Oryzias latipes: one gene and its partners. The protein of the gene in region 4 purifies or fractionates together with the protein of the main gene of each other region. This does not show direct contact. Links are inferred from orthologs where the notes say so. Each region holds a gene or a part of one and is shown on either strand. Other genes may lie near its edges. The genes, in order: paxbp1, tfip11, atg2b and hdac11.

Evidence for each region.
Region 1: the proteins of hdac11 (region 4) and paxbp1 purify together in Homo sapiens (co-immunoprecipitation; 3 studies listed by BioGRID and IntAct, counting the BioPlex papers as one, with this or other methods). This does not show direct contact. The link is inferred for Oryzias latipes from reciprocal best matches to the Homo sapiens genes HDAC11 and PAXBP1.
Region 2: the proteins of hdac11 (region 4) and tfip11 purify together in Homo sapiens (co-immunoprecipitation; 3 studies listed by BioGRID and IntAct, counting the BioPlex papers as one, with this or other methods). This does not show direct contact. The link is inferred for Oryzias latipes from reciprocal best matches to the Homo sapiens genes HDAC11 and TFIP11.
Region 3: the proteins of hdac11 (region 4) and atg2b purify together in Homo sapiens (co-immunoprecipitation; 3 studies listed by BioGRID and IntAct, counting the BioPlex papers as one, with this or other methods). This does not show direct contact. The link is inferred for Oryzias latipes from reciprocal best matches to the Homo sapiens genes HDAC11 and ATG2B.

What each region holds. Positions count from the first base shown.
Region 1 is NC_019872.2:11,588,792-11,592,878, forward strand, and holds the start of paxbp1 (PAX3- and PAX7-binding protein 1), read right to left. Parts: upstream 2,857-4,087; 5' UTR 2,732-2,856; coding exon 2,428-2,731; intron 2,269-2,427; coding exon 2,146-2,268; intron 1,181-2,145; coding exon 971-1,180; intron 756-970; coding exon 537-755; intron 469-536; coding exon 365-468; intron 1-364. UniProt on the Homo sapiens protein: Adapter protein linking the transcription factors PAX3 and PAX7 to the histone methylation machinery and involved in myogenesis.
Region 2 is NC_019867.2:13,548,586-13,552,858, forward strand, and holds the start of tfip11 (tuftelin-interacting protein 11), read left to right. Parts: upstream 1-1,441; 5' UTR 1,442-1,570; intron 1,571-1,969; 5' UTR 1,970-1,971; coding exon 1,972-2,177; intron 2,178-2,256; coding exon 2,257-2,422; intron 2,423-2,503; coding exon 2,504-2,660; intron 2,661-2,769; coding exon 2,770-2,897; intron 2,898-3,027; coding exon 3,028-3,189; intron 3,190-3,422; coding exon 3,423-3,614; intron 3,615-3,725; coding exon 3,726-3,905; intron 3,906-4,048; coding exon 4,049-4,183; intron 4,184-4,273. Other genes in the region: srrd (SRR1-like protein), read right to left, coding at 1-23, 101-252, 357-455, 541-719, 807-847, 958-1,100. UniProt on the Homo sapiens protein: Involved in pre-mRNA splicing, specifically in spliceosome disassembly during late-stage splicing events. Intron turnover seems to proceed through reactions in two lariat-intron associated complexes termed Intron Large (IL) and Intron Small (IS).
Region 3 is NC_019880.2:13,120,765-13,124,327, reverse strand, and holds part of atg2b (autophagy-related protein 2 homolog B), read left to right. Parts: intron 1-438; coding exon 439-712; intron 713-800; coding exon 801-909; intron 910-978; coding exon 979-1,180; intron 1,181-2,982; coding exon 2,983-3,125; intron 3,126-3,318; coding exon 3,319-3,476; intron 3,477-3,557; coding exon 3,558-3,563. UniProt on the Homo sapiens protein: Lipid transfer protein required for both autophagosome formation and regulation of lipid droplet morphology and dispersion.
Region 4 is NC_019863.2:24,898,269-24,901,831, forward strand, and holds part of hdac11 (histone deacetylase 11), read left to right. Parts: intron 1-165; coding exon 166-282; intron 283-2,054; coding exon 2,055-2,097; intron 2,098-2,937; coding exon 2,938-3,014; intron 3,015-3,563. UniProt on the Homo sapiens protein: Responsible for the deacetylation of lysine residues on the N-terminal part of the core histones (H2A, H2B, H3 and H4).

The DNA of each region.
Region 1 (4,087 bases), on a different chromosome or scaffold from region 4:
GCTAATCCTCTGGATTTCACACAATAATAATTTCCTGTAGCTCCTCACTTCACCACCTTTGCTCAGACATTTTCCAACTTCTTAGCGATTCCTGCTTCAGTTTTCTGCTATGTGGTTTGGGTGGCAGTTCCATCACCGACTGTCTTTAGTTCACTCTGAAGTGAGCAGAGACCCAGATCTGAACTAGTTCTGAGGGGAACTTGCACACAGACTCTTAAAGCAAAACAAACCCTAGTGCAGGTCAAACCTGACAGACAAGAGATGTGTTTCACTTACGTTTTATTCTAAAGAAAAAAACAACAACTAACAAATAAAAAGCATAATAAAAAAAGCACAGTTTTTGTAAATATGTAGTGCTGCTTACCTGAGGTATACTAATTCCTTTTCTGATCTGCTCCTGCTCCCATCGGCTCACCTCCTCATCCTGACCTGCTGCATCCAGAGCTTCATCATCACTTCCCTCAATACCTGTAAAAGCACACACACGTTTAAAACTAAATCAGTGTAAGTGAGCAATCAAGACGAAAGCGCAATACCTATTTCTTCAGCTATCTTCTGCCTCTGGGTTTTGTTCTTGACTCCACTGAAACGGATCCTCTTCTCATCCTCGTCATCATCACTAGCATCCTGGTCTTCTTGATCCAAACGCTTCTGGGGCGTGTCCATCTGTACCAGAGGAGCTTCGCCCCCCAGTTCTCTTGCCAGCTGCCGGCGTTTCCTGGCAGCATGGATGAAAGCCGCATCTGGGATCTCGCCTGCAGGACAGACACCGTCTTTAGCTAAATATTTGTGCAGTTTTTGGGCAGAAACATTTCAGAAACAGAGGTTTAGATATGTGGTACGCTGTTTCTGTTGCAGTCATCTGAATATTTATGTGTACAGACATCACAAAAACAGGACAATTCTTCTTCTTCTTAGTGGGTTTTTACCACAATCCTTCCCCAAATGTTTCACTGTTGAATATTCCTACCTGGTTTCAAACTGCTGAGGGAGGAAAGCGTGTTAAACGTCCCTCCTGGATTGATGCTTTTGGGTATTTGACCACGTGTTGGAACACCCTGACTCCGCGCCTCTTCGTCCTGTTCATCGCTGTCGACCTCCATTTCTTCCTCTCCATGTTCACTGTTTTCCCTGCTGATAACTTCCTCTTTAATCGCAAACATAGGCTTAGATGGAGCACCTGAAAGAAAAATACATGTTTAGTTTATTTCAAGCATTGCTTAACACCACAAACAGATGACTCCCTGGAATAACATTTTCTTATATAAAAGTTTATTTTTAACCCAATTAAAGTCATACTTATGAAGTTGATACAATAATGTGGTAATATATTGTGTTGCTCATTATCAATAAAAGTTGTTTATTTTTGTATTGCTAAATTTATCACTGCGTTTAATATTATAATAATTGAAATAATTGTTTCATACATCATCAGAAAAATGACAAAAGAACATATTAAAAACACAATTTTCATCTTTAAACCGGTCCTAGTGTTGGTGACCAATGCAGCAACAACAGGCTTTACCTTACACTGCCTCCTGCTGGACACATACAGTACTGTTCCAATAGCAAACCAAGTAAAATCGATTTTAAACATCAACACCTGCATATCATTATTCTGTTTAAAACATTTTTGGAAATTACTGACAGCAACAATTATTTTTTGCAGGATCAAGTGCGAATTTGCCGGAAAGTTGAACAATGCAGTCCAGCAAAAACAAATTTTAACCTAATTATGCACGGCATTCAGTCTTCTTCCTCTTTCGGCTTCTCCCATCAGGGGTCGCCACAGCGAACAAGTCGCATGGTAAACTTGGCAATGTTTTACGCCGGATGCCCTTCCTGACGCAACCCTCTCAAACCGGGCTTGGAACCGGCACAGGGGTAGAGAAGGGAACAGGGAGCAGCCCGGAGTCGAACCCTGGTTTCACGGACGGAAGGCGCCGCAAACCAGCACGAGCTATGCACGGCATTCAGTCCAAATTGGAAATGTAAAATAGTTATACCTGTTTAAAACGAAGTATATAACAAATGCTATATTACATCTCAATTTACTATGTTGTGACAGATGAACACACGCAAGAAAAAATAAAAAGGAAAGGCAAAGTAAAAATGACATAAAACAACATTTTGATAGATGGGTACCTGTTTTGCTTTCCTGTTTCCCACTTCCACCTTTTTCCAGATCTTCTTTGTATTCTTTTTTCAGCTGTTTGACAATCTTCTTGCTGTGGTTTGGTTTCTTCACCCTGAACACCTCGGTAGCTTCTGTTGGAGTGACAAAGAAAATCTCAACCTAAGATAATGTCATGATTTTTACCAAACATAAAAACCACAAAAAAGTGCTTGGATATCGCTAAAATGAACAAACTTCCAATGTTTATGACGTAAAGAGAAGCTATCATAGCAGTCTTTGCTAGTAGTTACCTTCCTCCTCGTCGAAACTCAGCAGACTGACTTTAGCCGGTAGAGGCTGAACGGGCGTTTCTTTGCATTTCTTTTCCTTTTTGACACCTTTCGCGTTGTTAATGTTGGCCAAAAAGCCATTGCTGTGAACGTTGTCGGTGCCGCTCAGCGCTCCGGAACCGCCGCTGCTCTTTTCCATAAACGGGATTTCCACAGCAGGCCCAAACGACATGGGCACGAGCGCCTGTGGCTGGCTCTGCTCCTGCTCGTCCTCCTCGGAGTCGTTCCTCCTTCGAAAATTGGCTCTTTTCGCCCTTTTAAACATTGTGTCTAGTAGTCAAATCCAGCGCATACTCGGAAGGACTAAAACACCAACTTGCGCTCAGAATCGTCGAACACATAAGCCGCAAAGCAAGTCCGCCATTTTCTGTCGGAGACTTTCTTCTTCTCTTTCAGCTGAGAATTTTCTTCAAATTCTGCTCTTCTGCCCCCAATGGTCAAAATAGGGAAAGCAACATTTGGAATGGACCATTAGACCAGGAGCCTTATTTATAAACGTTGCGTACGCACAAAAGAAGGCGGACTTTTTTTCCTACCAAAAAAAAAAATCAGTTTCAAATTATTCAGCGCTCTTGGGAGCTACGTGATATTTGGACAAGATTAGGGTGTTTTCTTACTAGATTACTTACAAATATACGTTTGTCTAAAAAAAATTAATGTACTCAGCTCTCCACAGTGACATCTGTATCTAACGCTCTTTGTCTTTTTTTTATTAAGACTTTTAAGTCGTAAATTTACTAGGAAAAAACTCGTAAATTTACAACTTTTATCTCGAGAATTTACGATTTAAAATCTCGTACATTTACAAGAAAAAAGTCATCGATTATGTGGAGACTTTTCTGAAGTTTTTTTCCGGATAGGTTTAAAAAAACAATGAGATTCTGAACTTTTTGGCGACTCAAAATCAGATAATTTTCAGAGTAAACCGGTTTTCCGGGGTTCGGTGTCAGTAAAGCGGAGTTTCATATATATAATAAGGAGCTCAGAGACACATTTGGGTGTAGAGGACCGCTGCAGCCTTTATTTTCCTTTTCATTCACATATCCTGAAGTTCATCAGTCACCTTACGACATGAACCTGTCATCCGAACACCAATGCAGAAGTAAACAGTTTTACATACGCCCCCTCCTCCAGATGAAACGTCCCGTTATAACATATAACAATAAAGAGGAATGAAAATAGTCTGTTATATTAGCATTAGAACGTTGAAAATGCCAGAAAGTGCTCCTCCTCAGACAGAAGTGTCACACAAACGTAGAGATCTGATGATCTTTAATGGAGGAAGAAAGGATTCAGGTGGACAGCTGCAGGGACACTGTTGAACCTACGCGATAACTTCTCTTTTTTTCTTTCTGACCGTGGTCGGAAACGCAGGGGAGATTTTCTCCAGGGCCGAAGCGAAGGCGGATCCTCGTTTGGGATTCACTTTCCCGTTCGGATCCTCAGCCTCCAGAGCGAGTTAATAAGACAAAATACTTCTTCTGGGGAGGGACACCATCTTTTTATTAAGGTTTTCAGTCCTCGATCACACAATATAGACGCAAACTCTCCCGCTCCGCGCTCTCACCCCCCTCTTTCGCCCGTGCTCTCACACATGCACGCGGGGTCTCCAACACACGCA
Region 2 (4,273 bases), on a different chromosome or scaffold from region 4:
GTTTGAACACTCTTTCCACCGTTCTGCAACAGACAGAGGACATTATTTCATCTCTGTTTGCTAAAAACGATGCGCTCCATCATCAGTGTTTTCTACGAACCTTTCCCTCATACCATTGAAGCTGTTTCCAATGATTACAAGCTGGTATAATCCCCGTAAGCTCCAGTTTTTCCACAGTAGGTTGTTGTACAGAGCCTTCCCACAGTGCATGAGATAAAAAAGAGTGGGCTTGGTCACCAGACGCTTCCCCTCCTAAATAAAACAGCGGATACTTTAGTCTGTTTAGATCTCAGTTACGGTGATAACATCAGCAGTTTGTTCTCTAGAAGTGCAAAAAGAAAAACAATTGACATGACCTCGTTTTCTGTGAGTACAGTCATTCCCAGCTCCCTCAAGACATCCTGCTCTCCAGAGGAGAATATGGGATCATAAACCAAGCAATCCCTTAAGGAAACCTTTAGGAGAAAAAAAACTAAATGAGCAACTCAAAACAAACATAACACATGTTTGTTAGAACATAGTCTAATGCTCTCTTCTGACCTGTAATACTTCCAGCAGCAGAAGCAGCATGGCAAGCTGATACCGGGCTGCAGTGCAAGAAGAAAAGGAGCCAAGGCCATAACACACACACTCCAGCTGATCACCTGTGTTCTTCAGATGCTCCTCAGTGACGTCCTTCTCTGCAGATGCTGATGCTGTGGATGCCATCAGCAGCTCATCTGAGGACGAGGAACATAAGAGTTACAATTCAATTACACACTAAATAAAAAAAACATGTCTAAAAAATTTGGTTATGTTTTACTTACCTTTCCATTTGTGCCAAAACTCTTCGCATCTCAACTCAGTCCTATGAGACAGAGAGTAAAGAATGAGATATCAGAATTAGTTTTCCCCTCGATAAGGCACAATGAACTATGTTTATGAGTGGTTTTCCGTTTTTTTTATTTTATTTCTTACACAGTGGTCCTGATCCGTCTGACAACTTTCTCGACATCAAGCTGGTCTTCTTGGACGCTGGTGGAACTTAAAGGCACATGAGATTTAAACTTCCTTGTTTGCCCTTTTCGACGCCGAGCGACCTGCCACTCACTTTCAGACATTTTTTTTATCTCATTCCCATCATTCAACGATCTATAATAAAATGTTAGGGGTGAAAAAAAAACAGTGATAATAATTAAAAAACAAACACCCTAATCACCTCCGCCACAAAATCAGCAGCGCGTAGGACGGTTTTAAGTGTAACACATTTGTCTTCCGGTGTAACGCCAAAATAAAAGCTTTTATCACATAATTTATTAACCTAAATGTGTGGTGTTGCTGTTTTAACTTAGAGAAATTTATATAAAAACCAACACAAATCTTTAGTAAATGCAAACAAATAAAAATAAGTAAAATCTCAAAGTTTTAAGGTCACAACATTTATTCGTCAGTACTGACGGACAGACTTTACCCGGAAGTATTTCCACGTTCGTGCGTTGAACGAAAAGCTACACAGATAACCTCTTCTTGCTACAGACAGCCAAGAATGAGTTTTAATTAATCTCTAAGTGTATAAACTATTTCTTGTCAAGTAAGCTTTGTTTGTATTAAGTGCCTTTCTACTTTCCAAGTTCGAAATGTTTCTGCAGTCGTAATGGGATTTAATGTCCCAACTATCGTTAGCTAGATTTCGCTAAAAAATCTCATCATTTGCATTATTAATATCTGAGTTCTGTTAGTTAATACCTTTTTGCTTGAAACTTCTTAATGTATTTTTACGCTTTCAATCATACAAATGTGCAATACAGTTGATATTTATGTTGATAATTGTTTGTGACCGAAACAGTTTTGTGGCTAGCTTCGTGCTTAGCTAGCGTTAGCAATCATTGCTGACTGTGGTTTCATGCTGTTGTACGATTTTTTAAGCAACTTGAATGTTTTTCAATTGTATGGCTTTTATGATTTTTTTTTGTATTGGGTCTCTATCTAGAAATGTCGATGTCCCATCTTTACGGGCGGAGGGAAGAAGAGGAAGAAGGTGTGGAGATCGAAAGCTTCGAGGTGACAGACTGGGATCTGGCCAATGAGTTTAACCCAGAACGCCGCAGGTTTAGGCAGACCAAGGAGCAGGCCACTTATGGGATCTGGGCTGACAAAGATTCAGATGAAGATGAGAGACCCAGCTTTGGTGGCAAGAGGTAATTCACAGGTTTGATGCTCTGATGTCTAAATGTGAAAATTTTTGCAGAGGATGTTAACAGTGTACATTTTCTTTAGGTCGAAAGATTACAGCACCCCAGTGAATTTTGTTAGTGCCGGTCTACGTAAAACTGCAGCCGAGGAGAAACAGCAAGACAAAGAAGAAGGTTCTGATGATTCGGAAGAGGATGCCCCTGCAGTTCCCCCTCCTACTCGTGGAATTGCACCTAGAAAACTTCAGATGGTAAAGTTTCGCTTAAGAACATATTTTATCTAAAAAAGCTTTCTTTTTAAACTGACGTCTATAATTTCTTTGTTTTGTCAGAGTAATTTTCGTGGGAATCAGTCCCAGAGGTTTGCTGGTGGAATACAATCTGGACAGGGTATTGGAACCTGGGAGAAGCACACAAAAGGAATTGGACAGAAGCTTCTGCAGAAAATGGGTTACCAGCCTGGAAAGGGGCTTGGAAAAAATGCTCAAGGTAGGCAGCGTAAAGGAGGAAAAGTACTGTACACGATTGTGCTTTTGCATGCATTTCAGAGGGAAAATAATAGAGATTTTATTGCCATGCCTCTGTTTTGTTTATGTAGGTATTGTAAACCCTATTGAGGCAAAGGTCCGTAAAGGTAAAGGAGCTGTAGGTGCATATGGCAATGAGAGAACCCAGCAGAGTCTGCAGGACTTCCCTGTGGTTGACTCTGAAGAAGAGGAGGAAAAGGTGAGATTTTGCCACGAGCAGTTCTTTACTCCATATAATCTTGTTTTCACAGTGATTGTGTATCTGAAGAATTGAGGGCTAACTGTGAAATTATCTTCTTGTTTTTCTCCTGTAATGTGTGTTGTTGTAGGAGTTTCAAAAAGAATTGGGTCAGTGGCGAAAGGATCCTGCGGGCTCCGCAGTCAAGAAGAAACCAAAATACTCATACAGAACTGCAGATGAGCTGAGGGCTAAAGGCAAAATGGTTTCTCGGAACATGGCAGCATCTGCAGGAGAGTTGGCGCAGGTTAAGGTGCGTTAAAATCCTGCGTTATGTCCTTTTAATTTCGGGTCAGAACAATGAAAAAAACCACAAACTTTAATATTTTAAAGAGCTTCACAAGCATCTACTTGTTTTTTTTTTTTTTTTTACATTTCCTCCTTTCAGCATAAAACTGAAATAAATTGAAAGATTTTTATGGCCATGGAAGTAAAATGATTCAAGTTTTCTTTTTATTAATTGTTTTTATCTCTCTTCAAATTTAGGTTATAGATATGACTGTAAGAGAGCCAAAGGTTTACTACAGTTACAGTCAGATAGCCAACAAACACAGTGTTCCCGATGAAACCCCACCAGCCATGTCCACACGGGATCAGAAGGGTTCCGGCTTCGCTCTCCCTGAGCTTGAGCATAATCTTCAGCTGCTGATCGACCTCACAGAACAGGACATTTTACAGGTCAGAGGAAAATCTGAAATTCTTTCAAATCATTTTCAACTATTAACCCGTTTCAAGTGGGCTTCCAGATTTAATTTTTTTCTTCTGCTCTCTTTATTTATTCTTTTGTAGTCGGCCAGACGTCTACAGCATGAAAAGGACGTGGTCGTTTCTCTGAGTCATGAGTCCCGTGCGTTGCAGAGCAGACTAGAAGCAGAGCAAGATGCCATCCAGAAAATGGAGGCTGTTTTGGCACTGGTGGAGCGTTTTCCCTCTGGAGAGACGCCACCAGGGGAGGGACCGACTCTTCAGGTACGTGGCACATGAAAATACCCAAACTAGATGTACTTATCTTGCAGTTTATTTGTTCCTAATGGTTTTTAATCTCCATTCTTCTAACATTTAATCATTTTGAACATACTTATTTGTTTATTTTCTCACCTCTCTGTGCCCAGGAGTGTGCCCAGATCTTTGAGACTTTACAAACAGATTATTATGAAGAGTATAAAATGATGGGATTGGCAGACCTGGCTGTGGCAGTTGTTCATCCTTTACTTAAGGAGAAACTTCACTCATGGGAGCCTCTAAAGGTTTTTTTTTTTTAATTATTCTAATTAAATTATTACGCTTTTATTTCTGTGGGGGGGAAAACAAACACCTTATTTTCAACATGTTGCTCA
Region 3 (3,563 bases), on a different chromosome or scaffold from region 4:
ACTCTTCCAGGTTTTAGCAGCAGAAATCTGAAACACCGCTTCACAGTGTTTAGTCTTTAATCTGGAAAATTTACAGAAAATCTGTCTCTGATCGTCTCAGGGCTTAAAGTGGTTCATAGGGCTTGTGCACAAAGCAGATTGTTAGTTCTAGCTTGCTAGACTAACCTTTATTTGTGATTGTTTTGGTTCAATGGGGTCAGTCTTACTGTTTTAATCAATTGTTTAGTGCATTATCCATATAAGTCTGCATAAGACATATATTTGTCATCTAAATTTTGTCTGACCATTGATAATTTAAAATGGAAATACAAGCTTGTCCTGCAATGACCTTAAATGACCTTAAACTAATAAAATGATTCTTTCAGCTGTATCCCATGTTAAATAGTTCAATATACAAAAAAAAAAACTCTTTTTTTTTTTTTTTAAAACCTTTTGCAGCACAAAGCCTTCACTGAGGTTTTCCTTGATGACACCCATACACCCTCCAGCTGTCACGTGTCACTGACGGTAAATGCCCCAGTGCTTGGCCTTGCAGTGCGCTTTCCCATCCCTGATCTGCGTTCAGATCAGGAAAGAGGGCCCTGGTTCAAAAAGTCCCTGCAGAAGGAAGTACTTTATCTGGACCTGGAGGACCTGGAGGTTAAAATAGAGTTCATGGGTGGTAACTCACCAGATCAAACCAAAATGGAGCTCACGTTCAAAGAACTTAAAGGTATATCCCCTCCACATCTGCACTCTGAGTTGTAACTTTTTATTTGAAGGCTGCTGATAAATGAACTTTATCATTTCTTTGTATGTAGGCAAGTTCCAGGAGGACCCAGAGGAACCTGCTTCCTGTTTTCTCCGAGTATCCAACACTATGGACGGAGACATGACAACATCTGAAAGTGGGAAGTTCGACTGGCCAAGGTAAGTGTACACAACTCAAACCTATGTGTCCGTTCAGCAGCGTCTTCAGTCCTTCAACTCTTTGTGCAGAGTGGTGTTGAAGATGAACCCCACTGCAGTCCATTCAATCCTCGAGCGTGTGACGGCTGAGGATGACGAGGGCGCTGAGGACCACTCGCTTGAGGAAGAAGAGGAGGAAGGGGCTGCCCATTCACTAAAAGACGTGTGTGACTTTGGGAAGCCGGAACCCTCACCCTTTTCTTCCCGAAGGGTTATGTATGAGAATGAAGAGGTAATTCATATTCCTTTTCAAGTATCTCCACATTTCGTTCTGTTAAAGGGTTTTATGTGTTTTATTTAGACATGAGAAAAATGTACAGAGCTCTTCATTTCTGTCCACACTTATAATAAACCCGAGTTTAGTTATAACTGAAAATGATCATCTAAAAACTAAAACTGCTATTTGAAACCTTTGAATTGATTCTTTTGCCCTTTTTTTCTCAAAATGAAATAAACCAAAAGAATGTAATAAAACATTGCAACATTTTTAAGCCGCTGGCTTGCAAGTAGAGTTATTTTGATTTGTGTAAGTGATCAATACTAAATAGTCAAAAGGGACAAATACAAACCGTTTAAGCAAAATCAATGAATTATCCTTTACAGAAGAAATGATCACTTTCTTTGCTTATTAATGACTTATTTTTGACTACAGTTATGCAAATTTGTCGTTCATAGAGGACTTTTTTTAACCTGAATATCTGCCAACCACTGCATACTATTGAATTAACTCCTTTTTGTATTTATAAAGGACATTTGGGTCTTTTTAGTGATGATGAGTCCCTGAAAGTTGTAGTTTTAGGTGGATCTAAAAAAGTTTTTTTAACTGGACAATTTTTTTCTCTCTGGTAGTCTGTCCACTGTTCAAACAGAATTTTATTTTTTAGGATTTCCAGTTGGTGGTGTGACTTCCTTGTGATTTGCATTCACAGGAAAAGGGAACTTTTTGATGTTTAAATATATTTATTAAGTTTTAACAAATTTCGACACAAATTCAGACAAGCCCCCTCCCCCACTGTCAGTCATAAAACACAATGCAGTTACAGTATATTAATAGAATATGTATGCAAACACACATAACTATATATATGTAAACACACAAAAACCCTAACACATAAACAATATTTAAGAGTCAGTTCAGAGAGTATAATAAAAGCAAATAACAGCCAGATATGCAAACAAATAAATGTATATTAAAAGTAAAGATGGATTATTGAAAAAGGTCAAGAAGGGTTTCCTCACTATATAGTTTGTGTTCTGAACCCCTTATTTTCTCAAGATAAGGTGAAACAAAACATCTTTAACCCAGTGTGATGCAGTTTGTGGTTCAATGTCCATCCATTTAAGCAGAGTCAGATGTCGTGCTAGTAAAGAAAAAACATGAATCCTTTGACCCCCAGTCGGAAAAGGTAGCCCCTCATCACAAATCACCAAAAGAAGCATTATTGGGCAAAGTGGAAAAGTGACATTTTGCTTAAAAAAGGTTAAATAACACTTCTCTAAAGCACAGTCATGGTTAAATTGGGCAACATATTAGAATTCCAGCTTATATCAGTCTCCAATTTACTTAAAATATACAGCTCCAGCTGATTCTATGTTAAACATGCGCATAACATAAAAGGTGAATAAAGGATTCTAAAAAGTTAACAGGAAATAGGCTGTAATTGTGAATATTTGTAAATATAAACATGTCGATATTTTTTATGATTACCTTCATCTTTATTGTGGATCCTAAATTGTTCTGACTGGTATAGCTGTAGCTACACGTGGTGACGCACGCCGCCTCAATGACATCACCTCTTCGCATTTGTTTAACAGTAAAATCCGTCTGACCATCAGGACCATTGTGTTTGTTGCAAAGCAGGTGCACTTTGTCTAAGTGAAAACATTTGCATTCAGTATAACCTGCTGGACGGATCGTCCCTCATTACTGATGGTTTCTCAGGCAAATAGTTCCGTGCTTTGAATACCTGAACTGTTGACAAAACATGCTGATGTGGTCTGATGATTTCATTTTTTCCCCTTTTCTAATCTCAGATGGTCATTCCCGGTGATGTTGTGGAAATGACAGAGTTCCAGGAAAAAACCATGAACAACTCGCGTTTTGTCCTCGAGTTGAGTTTCCCAAATGTGCAATTAGTGCTCCCAAGCAAGGCATTCTACGAAAAGCTACACAACAGGTGCAAAATAATCATTTTCTCTTAAAAAAAAAAAAAAAAAAGCATTATCAGAGTTGATCAAGTATCACTCACTTTTATGAAGTCGCCAAATCCCTGCTGCTGTTAAATTTGATTACTTTTTTTTCAAATCTTGTTTACTTTTTGAAGACTTGTAGCCTAAATCCTGTTAAAAGGGAAATTGTTCATATTGTAGGATAAACAACGACCTGTTGCTGTGGGAGCCCACTGCTCCGTCCCCCGTGGAAACTGTGGAGAACATGCCCTATGGAGTTGGACTGTCTGTTGCCAGTCAGCTGATCAATACGTACTCCAAAGACAGCTTTAGCCAGTTTCGCTCTGCTGGTCCTGATGGTGAGGCAGCTACTTGTTTTTTTTCTTTTAGTGATACAATGAGCTTAAAGCAGTCTTACTTTGTTGTACTGGTTCCTGCAGCGGAGA
Region 4 (3,563 bases):
TGGGAAATGACTGGCTCCATCATGACCAAAAGTTTTAAATGTATTATAAAACATGTACCTAAAACTGTTACATAAATGTCTTAAGATGACATTTCAAAATTAAAAAGTCTAAGGTTTTGTTATGAAGTATCATGTGTACTGTGCTTCTGCTTTGTTTGGCGGCAGTGGTCGGTCGTCGTGGCAACCATCACAGAAATCCCTCCGCTCTTGTTTCTGCCGAATTTCCTGGTGCAGCGAAAGGTGCTGAGGCCTTTACGGACGCAAACAGGAGGAACCATCATGGTAACTCCACCCCCGCGTTCTTTCTTTGAGAGTCTTTGTCCATCATCCACTCACCGTCATCCTCAGAAGATCCTCTGTGCTTCTAGGTCATGAACTCTAAACCCTTCTTCAGAACTCACCTCTATAAACGACACAAATATGGATGATTACATGCACAAGATTTGATGTCAATAAATAACAAATTGAATTATGATTTGTTGGTTGTTGGTTTCATGGTTGTTGGTTTCATGCCCCGTAAGAGCACCACTGATGCCATTTTTGCTTTGAGAATGTTGATGGAAAAGTACAGAGAAGGTCAGAAGGAGCTGCATTGTGTGTTCGTAGATTTAGAGAAGGCGTATGACAGGGTGCCGAGGGAGGAGCTGTGGTACTGTATGAGGTCGTCTGGAGTGGCAGAGAAGTATGTCAGAGTAGTTCAGGACATGTATGAGAGAAGTATGACGGTGGTGAGATGTGCTGTAGGTCAGACAGAGGAGTTCAAGGTGGAGGTGGGACTACACCAAGGATCAGCTTTGAGTCCTTTTTTGTTTGCTATGCTGATGGACAGGCTGACAGACGAGGTAAGACAGGAATCTCCCTGGACAATGATGTTTGCGGATGACATTGTAATTTGCAGTGAGAGTAGAGAGCAGGTGGAGGAACAGCTAGAGAGGTGGAGGTTTGCTCTGGAAAGAAGAGGCATGAAGGTCAGTCGTAGTAAGACAGAATACATGTGTCTGAACGAGAGGGATCAAGGTAGAAGCGTTAGGTTACAGGGGACTGAGGTGAAGAAGGTGCAGGAGTTTAAGTACTTGGGGTCAACAGTTCAGTGTGATGGGGATTGTGGAAAAGAGGTGAAGAGGCGAGTGCAGGCAGGTTGGAGCGGGTGGAGGAAAGTGTCAGGAGTGTTGTGTGACAGAAGAGTGTCAGCAAGACTCAAAGGAAAGGTGTACAAGACAGTGGTGAGACCAGCTCTGCTCTATGGGTTAGAGACGGTAGCAGTGAGACAGAGACAAGAGGCTGAGATGGAGGTAGCGGAGATGAAGATGTTGAGGTTCTCCTTAGGAGTGACCAGGTTAGACAGGATAAGGAACGAGTACATCAGAGGGACGGCTCATGTTGCCTGTGTCAGCGACAAAGTCAGAGAAGCCAGACTGAGATGGTTTGGACATGTTCAGAGGAGGGATAGTGGATATATTGGTAGAAGGATGTTGGAGATGGAGCTGCCTGGCAGGAGGGCAAGAGGACGGCCAAAGAGGAGATACATGGATGTCTTAACAGAGGACATGAAGTTGGCTAATGTTAGGGTAGAAGATGTCCATGATAGAGTGAGGTGGAAAAGGATGATTCGCTGTGGCGACCCCTGATGGGAAAAGCCGAAAGAGAAAGAAGATGATTTGTTGGTTGTGTTCTAGGTAAAAGGTCTTCCATCCACCGTAAAAGAGTGATTTCTGCCTAATAAGTTTAGCAAATACTCTGTGTCAGTCTATAATCCTTCTTAAAGAACAGATGTGCAAGCTTTTGTTTATCTTTCATCCTATCTGTTTGATGACATCTGTTTTTTTCTTATTTTTTCTGTCATTTTACATCCTTTGACTACAGCTAATCGCCGCCGTTAAAACTTTAGGAGATCAGGGACAAACAGGAGAAGTTAAAACCATAGAAAGGTTGAAGTTTTAGAAATGTGTTATGTTTGAAATGATTTATTGGTTTATTTCATAGTAAAAATGACCAAGTCTGATCTTTAATGGGATTCTTTTAAAGGAGCTGAAGTAAAACATTGTCTTCTACAGGCTGGAAAACTGGCTGTTGACCGAGGATGGGCCATCAACGTTGGTGAGTAAGTCCACGGTGAAGCAGAAGCACCAGCCGGGTTAACTTTGTTCTTTCAAACATAATTAGGTTCAAAAGTTAAAGTGCTTCTTGATTTAGCGTGTCGGCTCTGTATGAATGCAACCTCACCTCCACAATCATCATCATTTGTTTTTTTCTCTCTGAACTGCTATGAGGAGTGAATTTCTCCTTGTGAAGCTTTGGAGACACGTGCCACATGTGCTCAAGAACATGCTAAACGCGCATTCTTGAATGTGCAATTAGGCCATGGTGTTCAAACTGGACAAGCAGGGAGGGTTTTTTTCCTCTTTTTGTTTTTCTACTGTTTAGTAGCACATGTCCACCACCTACAGTTAGAAGAGACGTGGTGCAAAATGCCAAAGCGGTGTAAATCTTACAAATCTTACTCCAGGCTTCTTTTTCACAGCTCGATTTCGTTATATGAAAGACTTGGTGTCATTGAATTCTGGCCAGGCACAAACCACAATTATTCATTTCTCCTCCATGATCAATTTTCAAATGGTTAGCATTTTCATGAATTAAAAGGGACGCCATCCATACGCAAAAATACGAGTCTGATTGGTCAAAGTTCACCCTGATTTAACTTTCAACGCGTGTTCAGTAGCCGCACGTTCTCTACATAGAGCTTGAAAACAGTCGTAGTAACTTGAAGGCGAGAGTTTTAAACACGGAAACCTGAAACACGCAGTTACACGTGTTTACATAGACTCTACACCGGAAGTGCTTGAATACACGTTGCTTAGGGCGGTGCGAACGTAGCTTGAGCTGTTCTTCATGAACCTGGACCTTGTTACCTCAACACTTTCCTCTGCTGTCTTTCAGGTGGGGGCTTCCATCACTGCTCCAGTAACAAGGGTGGAGGCTTTTGCGCCTATGCGGACATCACTCTGGCCATCAAGGTGATTCTCACAACCTCTGTGTCATTCTGGACACAAAGGGTGTGTAAAGAGTGTGTGGTACACAGAGGGTGTGGTGCTCTTTCAGACAGAAACTGTGGTAAACTCATGTCTGTTCACATGTCTGAATGGGCAGCTGTAAAGTGAATGTAATCAGTCATGAAAATAAGCAGAGAAGTGTTTTGTCTCAGTCAGGGATGGAAGCGTCCCTCCGCAATTATGTTTAAGAAAGCAGTGCACAGTCTGAAAATAGACTACAACCAAATAAGCATAAAAAGTGAAGCAGAACACTATGAACACAGCGGCAAGGCTAACAGATGGAAAATAAAAGGATTTTCACAGATTATTTCTTTGGATTGTCACTTTGCTGACGACTTTTTAAGCCTTTATAATGCCTAAAACTGGGATGTTTATCATTGCCAGGAGCAGCTGGTACTCTAAATGTTTACAGAAAAATGTCTATTTCAAGTGTTGATGTTGTCTTGTTTCACACTGCTGGGGTATCCATTAAGACAGATCTGGTGTCATCTCCGTAATGGTTTTGTTTCTGCC